Oryzias latipes: one gene and its partners. The protein of the gene in region 1 purifies or fractionates together with the protein of each later gene. This does not show direct contact. Links are inferred from orthologs where the notes say so. Each region holds a gene or a part of one and is shown in the gene's direction. Other genes may lie near its edges. The genes, in order: THO complex subunit 4, c1qbp, upf1 and ncbp1.

Region 1 (4,322 bases):
TACTACCAAATGTACCCTGATGACTTTGAAAGAAAATATGAAAGGGCTGACTTCTGTTTTTATTTTTTGGAAAACCAATTGATAAACAGTAGAATGATCTCAATGGATATCCTCTTAGTGGGCTTGTTTTGGAAACCAAAATACAATGTGGAAGGCCAACATTTTTTTTATTATTATTATTATTATTATACATTTTTCTTGCCCTGGGATGGACATTGTTGAGTAGTGAATGCAGGAATGCAGCTCTTATCTCCTTCCTCTAAGCCTTGGAAGCAAAATGTTGAATAAAAGACTTTTACAGAACTTCTGCTTGGTTTGACACTCATGTATGTTTGTTATAATACAATGAACAGTAATCAGTGTTAGGCTGTTTTTTTCCTCGGAACAAACGTTAGCTAAAAGTATGGAAAACGATCATAAATAAGAGGTTAAAAACTCCCCAGTATATCCCCCACCCCACTAAAATTCAGCTATTTTTAAATATACATAACTGTATTTGTAGTTTAGCTTTACAGATTGATTATATCTTTGATTTTCACTTTTTTTACACCCACAATTATTAGGAAAGTAATTCTTTTGCTTTTTTTATTAATAACAGCAATACCAGTTTTTTGTTATTTCTTTATAATAACGTGCAATTAACAGAGGTAGAGTTTACAGACAAACAGAGCCATGTAGCTCAGAAACAATCAATGTAGGAAAGGTTTCAATAAAAGAACAAGAGGGAAACTTTCTTTTTTGTTTGTTTTCTAATTAGGTGAAGAAGTTGTTGGTCTTAAAAATACTACTACCTTCAAATCAAAACAATAGAGTTGCATTTATATTTGTTATTTACATATTTCAAATGAATGTGAAGGAAGAATACAATCATGCATTCTCGTGCAGGGTGCTTTTTTAATCCTTATTGTAGTATGAAGAAGAGCAAAATTTTGAATAATACTTTGAATTGCTATCTTTTTATGCAAAATTAATCTTTTGAGATCAAATTAATTTCAACTTCTTAGCAGATTTGCTGACGTGTCTCATCAAAAAGAGATCCAATTTGTATTTATAATATGCATATTGAGAGTTCAGGGTGTTGTCCAATTTAAGCATTCATTATAATAACGTTTCTTGATCAAACTAAGAAAGTTTTCTTTAGGTCATAGTCACATCTAAATAAAAAATCAATTCAATACAAATTTCATTTGAAATATGAAACCACATTTTTGTTTGTTTAAAGAAGTGCCTTAGCCTATTTGTTTTCAATGTAATTTAAAGTCTAAAAGTATTTTTTTTTATGTTATTCAGTTTCGTTATAGAGATATAGTTAAAAGTGTTTGATTTAATGCTTTGATTGCTTCTTTTAGTGTTACTATGAACTGAACACACCCATGTATGGCGTTTTTTAGGAATAATGTTTTAGTTTCCAGTAGAGGGCGGTAAAGAGTTGTTGTAGTTTTTAACGTAATGACGTCAAGAGTACGTGTTCTCCAACCAATCAGCTTTTCTACAGCTTGTGGGCGCTTTTCATTGTGCTTAGTACTTGGACCAGAGAGCGTAAATCTACGGACGAAGAGAGGGAACAGCTTAGTCCAGGGTGTTTTAAGACAATTTAAATCTTTACAGTGCTTTAGAGTTATCGGGGCAGCATAATGGCGGATAAGATGGATATGTCTCTAGACGACATTATCAAGCTGAACAGGCAGAGTAGAGGCGGAGCCCGTGGGGGAAGAGGCCGAGGCCGCGGAGGCTCAGGCGGTGCCCGTGGAGGAGGCCTTGGGCGTCTTGGTGGTGGCGGCGGCGGATTTGGAGGCCGAGGCGGAGGATCAGGCCCCATGAGGACCCGACAGAACCTGAGCCGCGCTAGAGGCAGACCAACGCCTTATAGCAGGGTATGAGAAAGTTAGACGAATGGGCATTGGAAGGAAAAAAACCTTCGTCAAAGCTGAAAATTCCTGGTTTACGTCTTCTTTTCTCCATTTGGCTTGACGGCTAATCACCTAGCTAGTCAAGCCATTAAAATGGTTGCTTACCGCTGAGTTTCCCTTAGAGGAGAGCTCTATAGTTTGTGGATAAGCATAAATGGAGGTTGTTTGCATAATATGTCCCTTCTCCCACAACCTATATGTGTCGCACCACTTTTCAAGAAGAAGCTGCTTGAGGAGCGACTATGTTAGCCACATTGGCTAACCTGCCGGATCGTGAAGGTCTCAGCGCCATTTTGAATCCAACAACCTCGAATACAATTTGGCGTCAAAATGATGTTTTACCCCAAGTGTCGTAATGGTCTGGAAAGAAAAGGATGCCTACATCGCTGAGAAGGTTCCTGCACGTTTTTTCCATTGCTACGGAATCACATTCCTTCCAACGTCCTGCTACATCTTCAAGGCGGCCTTTTGTCCCAGGAATGGCTGACGGGGTTTCTTAAAATCCCACCCAAAAGGCTTTTCACCAAATGTCACATATGGATGGATACGTGGACTCATACTTAATCCCCTCAAATTTCCTTTATTTTTTTTTTTTTTTTTGTAAAAAGAAGCCCAATCTTCACTCCTGGGGTGTGAATGAATATAAATGCAACCCAAACAAAGCCCCGATCAAAATGGCGTGGTTTCAAAATGGACGTCCGCGTACTCCACGCACTAAAAAGGGGGCTATCGGCTTCTTTCCCCCCAAAATGTTCTTCACCTGTAACATCCTAAAGACATTTCTTCATGAAAGTCGAATTGTGGCCTGACAAAGGACTGTTGTGAGCCTGGACAAGCGGCGCAACGCGGGATGCGAGGCTGCTTCTGCCGGGGACCCCCCCTCGTGTGCCTGAGGAGCATGTCGACAGACAGAGCAGTTGGTGGAGTAGCAGATGGCAAGAAACGACGGGGTTATGCTAGCTAGTTTGGGGCGGATTTTTGGTTCATGTAAAGATTTTTTAAAGTTAATGTATGAAAATGATTAGTTTAAATATCTGTCAGCTTTTTGTCTTACTTTACAAGTAGTAAAACATTGAAATTTTCTGTATCAAAACACCAAAATAGCTATTTTTAAATTTGTGTATTTCTGTCTGAAGTGATTCACGTGATTGTAACGATGGGGTGGGCAGGGATCATGGGGGGGTCTGCTGAGCACCCTGGCCGTGTTGGAAGTGGAGCACCTGCTTGCACCAACACCCAGCCGTGTGGACTCTGTGAAAGACAGAGGCAGGGGATCCTGAAGTCAGCAGGTGCGTTCTCTTTCGTCTGTTGCAGCCCAAACAGCTTCCCGATAAATGGCAGCACGACATGTTTGACAACGGCTTCAGCGGCTTCAATGGGGCTGCTGGAGGTGGCGGAGGAGCTGGTGTGGAAACGGGAGGAAAGCTCCTCGTCTCCAATCTGGACTTTGGGGTGTCAGACGCAGACATCCAGGTACAACTTAGCTAGCATATCTGATGGTGATGTTTTTTTTTTTTAATTGATGACTTAGTTTTGACTTTTTTTTTTTTTATCGAAGGAACTCTTTGCTGAATTTGGGACTCTAAAGAAAGCTGCAGTTCATTACGACAGATCAGGAAGAAGCCTTGGAACGGCAGATGTCCACTTTGAAAGGAGGGCAGATGCCCTGAAAGCCATGAAACAGTACAATGGCATTCCTCTTGATGGTATTCTTCTACTTTATTACAGATTTATTTAATTAGATAAATACATTTAAATATTAGTTGATCTTCCCAAGATTAAAGCCTAATTTGTGTTTAGGGCGGCCTATGAACATTCAGCTCGTCACATCACAGATCGACACACAGAGGCGGCCTATGCAGGGGTAAGTAAGCATGGATTCTTGGGAAACTGGAAACAGGCTGTTGTGTAAACCCCAATTACATTTTCTTTGTGTATTTGTTTTGTTTTACCAGTATGAACAGAGGTGGTGGAGGCATGAGTAGAAATCGGGGTTTCGGAGGGATGCAAAGAGGCCGAGGGGTCCGTGGTGCAGGTGGTCCCAGAGGAAGAGGGCGGGGGGGGCGCGGCGGTGCCCCCAAGCAACCGCTATCGGCAGAAGAGCTTGACGCCCAGTTAGATGCTTACAATGCCAGGGTACATCTGTCAAAATAGAAAGCATCTTCTGTTGAAGTTGTTTTGCAGCTGTCCTAATTCTGTTTCACCTCTTGTTTTCTCAGATGGATACCAGTTAAGGAAACCTCCCATCCTAGTTGACGTCATCCCTCCCTGTCTGCACAGAAAGGGGTGCTTGTTACAGATGTGCAGAATATTTTACACTTGTCTTCTGATGTGATTGAAATTGTTCCAACCTCTTCTTTTAAATACTCCAAAGTGTTTTTTACCAAGTGTTTTATTTTTGTTTTAATTTTT
Region 2 (4,056 bases), on another chromosome or scaffold:
TTATGATATAATATGAACTAACTTACAGTGGTATCAAGTCAATAACATGGAAATTATGGGAGTTTTTTTAGTAACATTTTGCATCATTTCTGGCCTTTTTTCAACAGCAGAATTTCCATCCACATAAGAATGCAAACTTATCTACAGCCACTACCTTTAAAAAGGTTTAGTAAAGATAGATACATAAAAGCTCTTGGTCTATATTTACATGTATGTATATATGTAAAATTCAAATAATTAAATTATATGTGAAATAGTCAAGATAATTACAACATTTATCAGGAATTCATGGTAACATTATCTGTGCTAAATTCACAGAAGCTACTGTGTTCATAAAGAAAAGTTAAAAAAAGAAACTTAAAAAAAAACACCACTAAACTCACCCTTTAGGTCTGAATAATTTCCTTCAAAAATGTGGGGACATAAATCTCTCAAGTTGCTTTTGTGCTTTTGTACTGTCTTTAGGGAAGTCTGACAACAAAGAGACTTTTTTTTTCAAACTGATTCCTTAAAAAAAAAAAAAAAAAGTGCGGTCACAGTCGCAACCGATAGTTTGTAAATTAGCAGATTCAGTCCAAACCGTTACAGAATTTCCTAACTTAGAAAACAGTAGTTTCCATGGTGAACACATTTTTTTATAGAATAGAAAATAATCTTTTTACATATATTTATATATATATATTTAGCAAATTTTCGTGGCTTTGATAAAGGGGTTTAAAAAGCATATAAATTTATCTTAAAAAATGAATTGGCTGTATAGTGGGCGTTGAATGGTTTAAAAACATGTCAGACAGCACCATCTGATGGCAGCAAGACTACAATTTCAATATATATTGTCGCAAAGGATGATGCAATGTTTCTACATGACGGGCCTCTACCGGTTGAGATTGTATTGATATTTCTTATTTAATCAAATTTTATTTCACTTGTATGTGCTGTCGAGTTTATTATAAATAAATAAAGAACTCCCGCCACTAAAGAAGGCAGACAATCTCTAATAAAACATTCACATCGAAGACACAGGGGGGCGCCACTGAAAATGCACTACGTTTTTTAAAAGTGCATCATATTTTTTCAGCTATTTTTTAAAAATGTTTTTCCATTTAATTTTACCATCCTATTTTACCATCATATATAATCAGTTAGTGTTTAGTGTTTAGTAAAGTAAAGTCAACTATTTGATATAAAACTAATGTTTACTGAACTAAGTACTACTTCCGGTTCAGGGGTCATAGTTACGCTAGGTCAATGTGCCCTTCCACACGTGTTGCCGGTGTCTTCTAGAAGCGTTCCTGGTAGTACGTCGGTGCCTGCGTGTTCTTATTTTTCTCTCTTCTTTAAACAGTTTATAGTATCATGCTAAAGTCTCTGGTCCGCGCGGTGGGAGCTGCTGTTCGGCTGTCCTCGGCACCATCCGCTGCTGCACGGGCTCTGCCGCTCAGCTGTCCGACCAACCGCTCTCCTGGTTCGGTTGCATCTCGGCCCTTCACCCGCTCCCTGTGGATGTTGAACAGTAACGGAGCCCCGTCGGGATACAGACCTAAACTGTTCAGCTCAAAAGTACTAAGTCCGTCTGTGTCGTGTGGATGTGGAGGGCTGCACACGGAAGGTAGCTGAACGTCCGCATGTTTTTGTTTCATTTATCTAAAAAAAAAAGAGAACCTGTAAACACAAGTTTGGGTTATTTAAAGCAGCAAAACAGCTTAAGTTGCTTACAAAATTGAAAGACACGTGGCGGTTAATTGGGGTTTTAGACGACACGGCGAGCGTGCTGCATCCTGGTTTAGGAGCTAAAGAGCTGACATCACTTTGGCAGGCAAAGCTTTAGATGATAAACAATCAACTGATGTTTTAACTTGTCGCTTAGCAACAGTACTGCTAATTTCCAGACTTCACAAACTATTTGAATTTTACAGTGACCCGATTTTCCTCATTAAAAGTGCTTGTTTTTATTTCTTTTTTTTTTTTCTTTACTCCTTCCACTCGGCAGAAATTGCTCCTGGAAAACGACACAGGTTTTATAAAGATTTGGCTAAAAACGTCAAAATTATTATTTTTAAAAAAACCCCACTGTGAACGCTTTTACAATCGAGCGGGAGGTGATTGGAGTGGAGCTTTTAACATTTTAAACTAATCACAAGTGAAGAGTCCCTTTATATTTACATCTGTATTTACTCAGTCAGCATTTGTTTTTTTGAATATTCCGCTGGTGTGTTATCCATCAACACTTAAAGATTCTACACGATGTAGGTATTTTGTATGTAATTGTGTAACAATTGTTTCAGATAATGCATTTTATCAAGTTTTTTCACCTCTAACTTGTCACATGTTTAAACATAAAACATTAAGGTTCACTGATAAGTTTTTCCAAATCCCCTCTGCCGAAGCCAATAGTTTACTCATATAAAGTTATGTTGTCATCCCATCCTGTGTGAAATGTGGATTCATGTTTTTTATCAAGTTGTCCATTCTACATCACACAGTTTCACCTAAATCTGTTGTCTTTTTCTCAGGAGACAAAGCGTTTGGTAACTTCCTGTCCGATGAAATCAAAGAGGAAAAGAAGATCCAGAAAAACAAAACCCTTCCTAAGATGTCTGGAGGATGGGAGCTTGAGATGAACGGCACAGAGGCCAAACTCACAAGACACCTTTCTGGTGAAAAGTAAGGCGATGGCTCACTCTCTGAGGACAAAGTGACCGTGTAGGAGTTCCTGCAAAGCAGCTTTTATTTTCTGTCTTCAGAGTGACGGTCACATTCAACGTTAACAACAGCATCCCTCCAAGCTTTGAGGAGGAGGAGGAAGCGCAGCAGCAGCAGAAACCAGCAGAGGAAGAGGTGAAGCTTTCGAATTACCTTCTAGATTTGTGATCTTATCATTTATTTATGCTCACTAGTTGTTGTTTTCCTTTGTAGCCAGAGATTGTATCTACGCCAAACTTTGTTGTTGAAGTAACAAAACAGAATGGGAAGCACACGCTCGTGTTTGACTGTCATTTCCCTGAGGATGAGGTATGAATTAAAACGAAGAAAGAAAGAAAAACTTCTGGATGAAGTGGTTAGGTAAAAAGGTGCCGACTTTATCCAATGTAGATGAGTCATGGTGAGGGGGAGGAGGAGAGCGACATCTTTGCCATCCGGGAGGTCAGCTTTCAGCCAGAGGGAGACTCTGAGTGGAAGGAGACCAGCTACACCCTCAACACAGACTCCCTGGACTGGGTAAGAGCTGCTGTGAACCATGAGCACACGGGGGGTCATGAAGGTGGGATGTTCTCAACTCTGCTGGGTTCTTTTTAGGCGCTGTACGATCATTTGATGGACTTCCTGGCCGACCGCGGCATTGATAACACCTTCACAGACGAGCTCATGGAGCTCAGCACTGCCATAGAGCACCAAGAGTACATCAAGTTCCTGGAAGATCTCCAAAGCTTTGTCAAATGTAACTAATATTTAACTTAACTGTCTGTTCTCCAGATGAAATTTCAAAGGACTAAAGCACTCAAGACTCATGTTTGGCACCCGGCAACAAGAATGTTGCTTGTTTTTCTGTAACTTCAATAGAAATATTTGTCAGCCATAGTGATCATTTAGTTTCTCAGCCTCTATTTTACATCTCATGTCCCCTTTAAATGTGTAAACGTTCAATCAAGACCTGTTCTAAAGCTAATAAAGAGAATTGTCAGTTTTCATTCGAGAATTTGTCACATTCTGAGGTTTTACTTTAGGAAGTTTTTATGTTTATTGAGGAACATTGACATTTTGTTGGTGGCTTAAAAACAAAATAAATACACACAAATTCCACACAGAACCAATTCAAGGTTTTAGATCATAATCATCACCTTACATTTTTCTCAATACAGTAAAACTTGAACAAGTTCAGATGCTTCAAAACTGAAATTATTTGAAAGATTCTTTATAATTTAGAAATGAATAGAACTGTTTAAAGGAAACAAATGGAAAAACAATATTAAACTGTTTATGTGCAATAGAGGTTGATCAAACCTTAAGCTCCTCCTAAGAAGCAACCCCGCCCCCCTTCCTCCCAGCTATTTCCCA
Region 3 (3,561 bases), on another chromosome or scaffold:
TGTGGGTCTTAAAGATTATATACCGTATGTCAAGAAAAAACTGTGAATCTTGAGCGAGGCATTAGGTTGTGAGTGGTGCATTTTTTTATTTGTCGGTTATTTTTAAAATAATTTCATCTGAATCGTGTATGTTCATGCAGGCAGCCCTGTGCTAGCCAGAGTAGCCTAAAGGACATCAACTGGGACAGCTCCCAGTGGCAACCACTGATTCAGGACCGCTGTTTTCTGTCCTGGCTGGTGAAGATCCCATCGGAGCAGGAGCAGCTGCGAGCTCGTCAGATCACCGCTCAGCAGATCAATAAGCTGGAGGAACTCTGGAAGGTATGCAGATTCACCTTTTGGGGTGCTTAAACAAAAGTTGAACCCAAATAAAAGGAAAAAGTAACTTCATTAGAGCAGAATGAACTCAGTCTGATTTCAGTGTTTTATTATTGGTTCTGATTCTGTTTCCATGGTAACAGGACAATCCCACCGCTGCACTGGAAGACCTGGAGAAGCCTGGCGTGGACGAGGAGCCCCAGCATGTGCTGCTGCGTTATGAGGATGCTTACCAGTACCAAAACATCTTTGGTCCTTTGGTCAAGCTGGAGGCTGATTATGACAAGAAGCTGAAGGAGTCACAGGTGACTGATTGACCAAGTAATAGTGGCTCAATAAAAATTAGTCATTTAAGGGGCTGTTTTTGCAATAAAAACAGAGCTACAAGGATCATTTGGACTTCCTGTTTTCTCTTGTATAACAGTTAATGTGGAAACAATTCCACTTTGGAGTTGCAATCTGGCAGCATTTTTCTTTATTATAATTTTAATATTATAATAAATATTATAATATTATAATATATTATTTATAATCAGTTATACTTCTTTCTTTTTTTCTAGACTCAAGACAACATAACAGTCAGGTGGGACCTGGGGCTGAACAAGAAGCGCATTGCATATTTTACACTGCCCAAGACAGACTCTGGTATGTTTTTGTGTAGTTTTTTTTATTCTGCTGTGTTATTTGGTTATTTGCAAGTATTAACTTTGTTTTTTTTCTACTTCATTTTAAATTTTGCAATTTATTTCCCACCATGGTTTCCATCCTAGATATGCGCCTAATGCAAGGTGATGAGATCTGCCTGCGTTACAAGGGAGACCTGGCGCCTTTGTGGAAGGGCATCGGCCATGTCATCAAAGTCCCTGACAGTATCCTTTACACTGCTGCAGAATATCTGCTGCATCACACTGACTTCCATCACAATTTCCCTCTTTAAAATCAGCAGCGTCACTATAGCTATAAAAGAGTTTCTTTAACAGCGTGTGCTTGAAGACTATGGGGATGAAATTGCTATTGAATTGAGGAGCAGCGTTGGAGCTCCTGTGGAAATCCCACATAACTTCCAGGTGGACTTTGTGTGGAAATCCACCTCCTTCGACAGGTACACTCAAATGCCCTGCCATGAACTCCAAATGAGACAAAACACTTAAAATTTAGGAAGTTTTATGTTACAGGATGTAATGTGACCTTAATTTTTCTTTTTTTATTTGTAAGAAGATTTCCATTCCAAGTATTTCCTAAGTTGACTCTTTTTTTTTTTTTTTGCACCCCTTTAGGATGCAGAGTGCCCTGAAGACCTTTGCTGTTGACGAGACATCGGTCTCTGGCTACATTTATCACAAACTTTTGGGCCACGAGGTGGAGGACGTTACCATCAAGTGCCAACTGCCGAAGCGTTTCACCGCTCAGGGCCTTCCTGACCTCAATCACTCGCAGGTCAGTCTGGCTTTCTGCTGATACTATGATTCTTGCTGTTAAATTTTAACTCATTTCAGGGCAATACTCCCATTCACTGTCATTTTTGTTGTCATATGCCCTTCAAGCACGGTCATTTACCTTTGGTTTTTGAAATTTTGTGGGGCTTGTGACTTCTTTAGAACAAGACCAAATATTAGTTGCTACAAGTGCCAAGATTACGGATAATTCATTTTCTCTTCTGCCCTTTTCCTCCCAAACAGGTCTACGCAGTAAAGACAGTGTTGCAAAGGCCTCTGAGTTTAATCCAGGGTCCTCCTGGCACTGGGAAAACTGTCACTTCTGCCACAATTGTGTACCACCTATCCCGTCAGGGCAACGGGTAGGACCATCACAATCAACAAACTTCTTCAAGCATAGAAATGTTATGCAAATCTAAAAATATTCCCAAAAACATTTACATAAATCCCTCATTGTGCTTTTATGGGTGCTTGTGTCCTTTTAGGCCAGTCCTGGTGTGTGCTCCAAGTAACATAGCTGTAGATCAGCTCACTGAAAAGATTGATAAGACTGGTCTGAAGGTTGTCAGGCTGTGTGCTAAGAGCAGAGAAGCCATCGAGTCACCAGTGTCTTTCCTGGCTCTCCACAACCAGATCAGCAACATGGACAGGTGAGCGGCACACAGACAAGAAGTTAAAGTACAGTCCACTCATTTTCTTTATTTTTTATTGAACCTTTATTTACCCAGGAAATGTCCCATTGAGATTAAGAATCTCTTTTTCAAGGGAATCCTCATCTTTTGATCTAAGTGTTACCAGAAGTCTTTTCAATATGATTGTGCCGATTTTAGCCTAAATCCAAAAATGTGTCATTTTCTAAGAGTTTCTGTTACGCGGTAAGAGTTCATCAGAAACTCGCCTCTTAGTTGTGTTTGAGACTGATGGTGTGGAAGTAAGATCCCTTTGTTTGCACTCGCCCGCTGGCTTACAGCCCATCACAACCCCAACCTAACATTAGCGGTGCATCAAAAATGGCGAGCAATATCGGATCTATTCAGCCATCCCGTTTTGAGCCAGATTCCAGCTCAGACGAGGAAAATGAAAACGTTATTGGATCTGCTAGTGGATGTATTGGAATGGAGCGTAGCAGTGAGACTTTAGCTCGCCCATTGCAGTGTCTATGTTTTTCAAATGGCATTTATTAATCTCTTGATTCATCGCGGTTTGAATAAAGAAATACTCAGAAATGTAGTTTTAATCGTAAATTCCTTTTTGTATGTCTTCCATGAGAAAAATTCTACAAAAACATGTTAAAAACAAATTTTCCTTTGGAGCGGATCTTTGTTAAAAATCTTAAAAATGTTTTTTATACAAGTCCTGCTGGGAATGTTTTTGGGCTTTGATAATTTTTTACAACCTTTTGTCATTTTGATGTACCTTTTTAATGTATTAAGCCTATCCTCCCAAATCAAGTTAAATTTTGAAAGATTTCCTTATGTTTTAAATTGTGCAAATCTATGTTTCTTTTTGAGAGCAGGCAGTTGGATTACAGTTTTAACTTGATAGTCAAATCCATTCGTTTATCCTGATCTTAGGTTACTGTTGCAGTGTGTGCCTGCCACTGTACATTCAGTTCAGGACCTTTTGAGTCACTGAGTTATCTCTCTTGGTTTCCACAGTATGCCAGAGCTTCAGAAACTGCAGCAGCTGAAGGATGAGACTGGAGAGCTGTCGTCTGCAGATGAGAAACGTTACAGGGCTCTGAAGCGCACAGCTGAGAGGGAGCTGCTCATGGTAAGACAGCTCAGCATTTGTACTATGATTGATG
Region 4 (4,244 bases), on another chromosome or scaffold:
AATGTATTCTGTTTCAAATACTTCCAGAAATATATGGTTTCCAAAAAAGTTGGACCGACTAAAGGAGTTTCTAAATGTGATGTCTTGAATCATCATCATCATCATCATCATCATTGAGGTTCACGTCAATATTTACGTAATGAGCCAAATTTTGGCCTGTCAATACTCTGATCAAGCCTGAAATATATTACATATCTATAAATGATTTAAGCATTGATTTACATCTATTTGGTCCGGTAAACGGTAATAATCTGTTTATGACAAAAACAGGGAAGAATTTTATATGTCTAAAGTGACAATTTAAAAGAAGCAACAAATTTTTTTTTATGTATTTGTTTGTTTGTGACATCAAACACTAAAAAAAAGCCTCTCTGCAAATTTACCAGTTGGCCAAAAGCCCCCCCCCCTCTATTTGTTGTCCCAGGACAGAAGGTAAATGTGCCTCACTAAATATAAAGTAATCATTTAATGAACGCCTGGTGAAAGGTGAGTTTTCAACTGTAAAATGGTCAAATATGTTTTTAACTACAGGATCTATTTCTAAATTGTTGTGCCTTTTTTATGTTGTTTGTTTTGGTGTAAAGCACTTTGTGTTATCATGTTCTAGAATTATATAAATTTTACATAAATAAAGATTGATTAGATTTGATACACAGAAAAACAAAAACAAATACCAAAGATATTCTCTAACTTTCATGTCTTGAATACCTTAGGTAGTAATAATATTACTACCTAGTAGTAATAATATTACTAATATATAAAAGATGCAAACTGCCCAGAATTGGGTCAGAATCAATATTTAGTTTAGATTAGTTTAGTCATTTTTTATTCTGTTTTCAATCATTCTGCGTTGTCTTTGTGGAAAGAGAAGCCAGATATTCTCCTACCTTTCTCCTGCAGAACCTGTAATATTTTCTGTGAGCAGCAGAAATGTGTTTGTTTTGCTTAATTGATCCATGATCAACCATCGACGTGTTGACCTCCCAGTTCAGAAACTCTGAGCAGACTGCTTCACTGGCTGCCATTCTCCTCAACTGGCAAATTAAATGCACGACAAATATGTTTGTGATCGTAAAAAACGCAACTTTGTGATAGAACGCGTAAATACTGACAAAAAGAGAGATATAAGTTCTCAAACGCGGTAAATACCCTTGTATTTCCATGCGAGTGTGCAGCTCACCGGAAGTGGAAGTTCAGCTTCCGGTTGTACCTTGAATGACCCGGATGTCCATCATTTCAATCGCTCCGCTGTTATTTCTCTGTAAGAAGCTGCTGTTGCTGCTGCTGCCGCCTCCGGACTCTGCCGTTCAAAATAAGCAAAGCTTTTCCCGGATCCACCGGTCTGTCCCGCGTTATTTTTTTTACACCGGGTGTCTGCACGCGTGCAGCTCAGGGGGGACAACATGTCCAGGAGGAGACACAGCGACGACAGTGACGGCAAGTCGCGCGCTGCATGTGCGATTCAAACGTTACGGCTAACGCGGCAGCTAGCTACAGCTACCTTGATTATCTGTATGTGCTATAACTTTAAAGGAATGCAACGATAGCAGGCGTTGCCCCAATATCAAGTATTTTTTTAAAGCTACTAAATAAATTAGGGGATTTTAAAAAATGATTTTTAAGAGATTAAGTTTTACCAGAAAAACCCGGTTCCGTTAGTTAGCTACTTTAGCTAACGCTAACGGCCAGATTTATGTTTTATAACGGTTTCTGGCACACAAAACACATTTAATGTTTGTAAAGACTGGCGTAAGTGTTGAAAGAGACACTTTTTCTGTGGGTTCATCATCATGCGCATGGAAACGTGATGTTACAGCCCTGTGGATTTTGTGATTTATAAAGGAACATTCACAACCAAAGTGTCTCACGGTTCCACACTAAAAAAATATCAGACCTAACAATATTTTTATATAATGTAGGATTAGTTTAGTATGTATTTGTCATTGTATGTATAAATGACTTCTATTGGCTTCCATTGAGTGTTTACCTTTCATTCAGAGATTTCAGTAAGGAGAGAATCAGCAAGGCAAGTTTATTTCTTAAGCACATTTTATGTACAAAGGCAATTCAAGGTCCTTTACATAAAACACTAAAAGAAAAATTTAACAGAAATATTAAAGGAGTTATCACCAAAATAAAAATTTAAAGAACTGAAGTAAATACCAACCTGCATTTAAATAAACTGAGTGTTTCAGCTGATCCAAGGCTTAATTCTGGTAGTCTGTTCCAGATCTACAGAGCATAGAAGCTGAATGCAGCTTCTTCGTGTTTGATTTCGACTCTAGGTACTGACGAAAGAGCAGATCCAGATTACCGGACAGGTCAGAACTGGACTGATGTGGTCTAATATTTGGCTCCTTTGAAGGACCCGAGCAGCAGAGTTCTGAATACGCTGCCGTATCGTCCAGCAAAAACACTGGAACAGTAGTCAAGTCGACTAAAGATCGACTTAACACATAAACAAGTTTGGCCAAGTCCTGCTTAGACATCAGATCTTTATTTTAACCAGATGAAATTATCTCAAAGCGATGTTAAAAAGATGGGTTTTGTGCTTCTTCTGAAAAATCTCTACGGTCTCTGAGGCTCTCCGGCAGGCTGACGTCCAACTGTTTGTCTTTAGCCCTAGACACAATATTCTCCATTTTTCTTCTGTTTACCTAAAGTATATAGGAGGAAACCTCCAGTAAAGTCAGATGGAGTATGTGTGACTGTCGAAACACTAGATTTTATGAGACGAATACACTATTTTCCCCCCAAAACGTAGATTTGTTTTTCTGTCTTCAGTGTCCTCTCAGGTCAGAGGTTTAAGTTCTGTCCTTTTCATTTTTAGGAGGTCAAGCCCACAAAAGGAGGAGAACATCAGAGCCTATTGAGATTGAAGACCGCCTGGAGTCGCTGATATGTCGCGTTGGAGAAAAAGTACGATGGCCGTTTTGTCATAAAGCCATATATTTACTATTTAAATAATTTGCAATAACTAAAGTCCGTCTTTGATCTTTTAAAAGAGTACATCGTCCCTCGAGAGCAACCTGGAGGGGCTCGCAGGGGTTTTGGAGGCGGACCTTCCAAACTACAAAAACAAAATCCTGCGTATTTTATGTGCAGTGTAAGTTGTCCGCAGTTCTCCTCATTCTCAAGCGTAACAAACGGTCCGTTTTCACAAACGCGTCTTTCGACAGAGCCCGCCTCCTGCCGGAGAAGCTGACAGTCTACACGACGTTAGTCGGCCTCCTGAACGCCAGGAACTACAACTTTGGGGGAGAGTTTGTGGAGGCCATGATCCGGCAGCTGAAGGAGACGCTGAAAAACAACTTCTACAACGAAGCCGTTTACTTGGTCTGTTGATGTTCAATGTCTAAACTCGCAGCTGCTGCAGCGCCTTTTGCTCTCGGCATCGTTTAAGTTCTCTGCTCTCTTCAGGTGCGCTTTCTGTCAGACTTGGTCAACTGTCACGTGATCGCTGCCCCTTCCATGGTAGCCATGTTTGAAAACTTCATCAGTGTTACTCAGGAAGAAGATGTGCCACAGGTTTGTTTCTGCACGGCCTCACCTGGAATATTTGTTTGCATCAGAAGTTTCAGTTTATGAACATCCCGTTCTTTTTTTACTTAATGTCACATTTAAGGCGCCTCCTTTTGTTTTACTGCAACGTCTGAGTTTCCCCATTTCAAATTCAGCAAACTCCTTTATTTTTGTATCATCTGATGTTCTCAATGACGACTCAAAATTCCATGACTTGGTTTTGGGAGAACTGCAGTCCAATCAAAAATAAAAATGATTGTTTTCTGTGTAAAAATAGTTTTAGATTTATACAAAAACGATTTTTCAGCTTCTCAATTTGACTTGAAGATGAAGATCAGTAAGCGTGAGACCCTTTTGGCTCCAGGTTCGGTTGGACTGGTTCGTGTACGTGGTTCTGTCCTGCCTGCCGTGGGTCGGCAAGGAACTTTATGAGAAGAAGGACGTGGAGATGGACCGACTCCTGAGCCAGATCGAAGGCTACCTCAAGTGAGACGCGGCCTCTTTTCTGGAGCATCTTTTGCTTTCCATTGAAGCTGTTGTTGGACTGACTCCAGCGCTCTGCTGTGTTCCTGGACAGGAGGAGGGTGAAGACTCACGTCCCCATGCTGCAGGTGTGGACCGCTGAGAAACCACATCCACAGGAAGAGGTGAGCCTTTTGGACAAGCAGGTTTTGAAACGCAAGTCTAAAAAGATGCATTAGAAGGATCGAAGGGGGAAAAAA

Evidence for each region.
Region 2: the proteins of THO complex subunit 4 (region 1) and c1qbp purify together in Homo sapiens (affinity purification with mass spectrometry; 3 studies listed by BioGRID and IntAct, with this or other methods). This does not show direct contact. The link is inferred for Oryzias latipes from reciprocal best matches to the Homo sapiens genes ALYREF and C1QBP.
Region 3: the proteins of THO complex subunit 4 (region 1) and upf1 purify together in Homo sapiens (co-immunoprecipitation; 3 studies listed by BioGRID and IntAct, with this or other methods). This does not show direct contact. The link is inferred for Oryzias latipes from reciprocal best matches to the Homo sapiens genes ALYREF and UPF1.
Region 4: the proteins of THO complex subunit 4 (region 1) and ncbp1 purify together in Homo sapiens (affinity purification with western blotting; 6 studies listed by BioGRID and IntAct, with this or other methods). This does not show direct contact. The link is inferred for Oryzias latipes from reciprocal best matches to the Homo sapiens genes ALYREF and NCBP1.

What each region holds. Positions count from the first base shown.
Region 1 is NC_019866.2:15,369,802-15,374,123, reverse strand, and holds the start of THO complex subunit 4, read left to right. Parts: upstream 1-1,487; 5' UTR 1,488-1,634; coding exon 1,635-1,874; intron 1,875-3,224; coding exon 3,225-3,383; intron 3,384-3,468; coding exon 3,469-3,616; intron 3,617-3,710; coding exon 3,711-3,774; intron 3,775-3,865; coding exon 3,866-4,046; intron 4,047-4,129; coding exon 4,130-4,144; 3' UTR 4,145-4,322. UniProt on the Homo sapiens protein: Functions as an mRNA export adapter; component of the transcription/export (TREX) complex which is thought to couple mRNA transcription, processing and nuclear export, and specifically associates with spliced mRNA and not with unspliced pre-mRNA.
Region 2 is NC_019872.2:21,256,186-21,260,241, forward strand, and holds c1qbp (complement component 1 Q subcomponent-binding protein, mitochondrial), read left to right. Parts: upstream 1-1,225; 5' UTR 1,226-1,356; coding exon 1,357-1,609; intron 1,610-2,513; coding exon 2,514-2,664; intron 2,665-2,744; coding exon 2,745-2,838; intron 2,839-2,916; coding exon 2,917-3,012; intron 3,013-3,093; coding exon 3,094-3,219; intron 3,220-3,297; coding exon 3,298-3,447; 3' UTR 3,448-3,694; downstream 3,695-4,056.
Region 3 is NC_019862.2:13,852,626-13,856,186, forward strand, and holds part of upf1 (regulator of nonsense transcripts 1), read left to right. Parts: intron 1-140; coding exon 141-321; intron 322-461; coding exon 462-623; intron 624-878; coding exon 879-963; intron 964-1,088; coding exon 1,089-1,187; intron 1,188-1,311; coding exon 1,312-1,420; intron 1,421-1,595; coding exon 1,596-1,755; intron 1,756-1,997; coding exon 1,998-2,116; intron 2,117-2,239; coding exon 2,240-2,404; intron 2,405-3,412; coding exon 3,413-3,527; intron 3,528-3,561. UniProt on the Homo sapiens protein: RNA-dependent helicase required for nonsense-mediated decay (NMD) of aberrant mRNAs containing premature stop codons and modulates the expression level of normal mRNAs.
Region 4 is NC_019868.2:27,750,841-27,755,084, forward strand, and holds the start of ncbp1 (nuclear cap-binding protein subunit 1), read left to right. Parts: upstream 1-1,403; coding exon 1,404-1,437; intron 1,438-2,830; coding exon 2,831-2,919; intron 2,920-3,005; coding exon 3,006-3,106; intron 3,107-3,179; coding exon 3,180-3,336; intron 3,337-3,420; coding exon 3,421-3,528; intron 3,529-3,886; coding exon 3,887-4,008; intron 4,009-4,099; coding exon 4,100-4,169; intron 4,170-4,244. Other genes in the region: tstd2 (thiosulfate sulfurtransferase/rhodanese-like domain-containing protein 2), read right to left, coding at 888-1,163. UniProt on the Homo sapiens protein: Component of the cap-binding complex (CBC), which binds cotranscriptionally to the 5'-cap of pre-mRNAs and is involved in various processes such as pre-mRNA splicing, translation regulation, nonsense-mediated mRNA decay, RNA-mediated gene silencing (RNAi) by microRNAs (miRNAs) and mRNA export.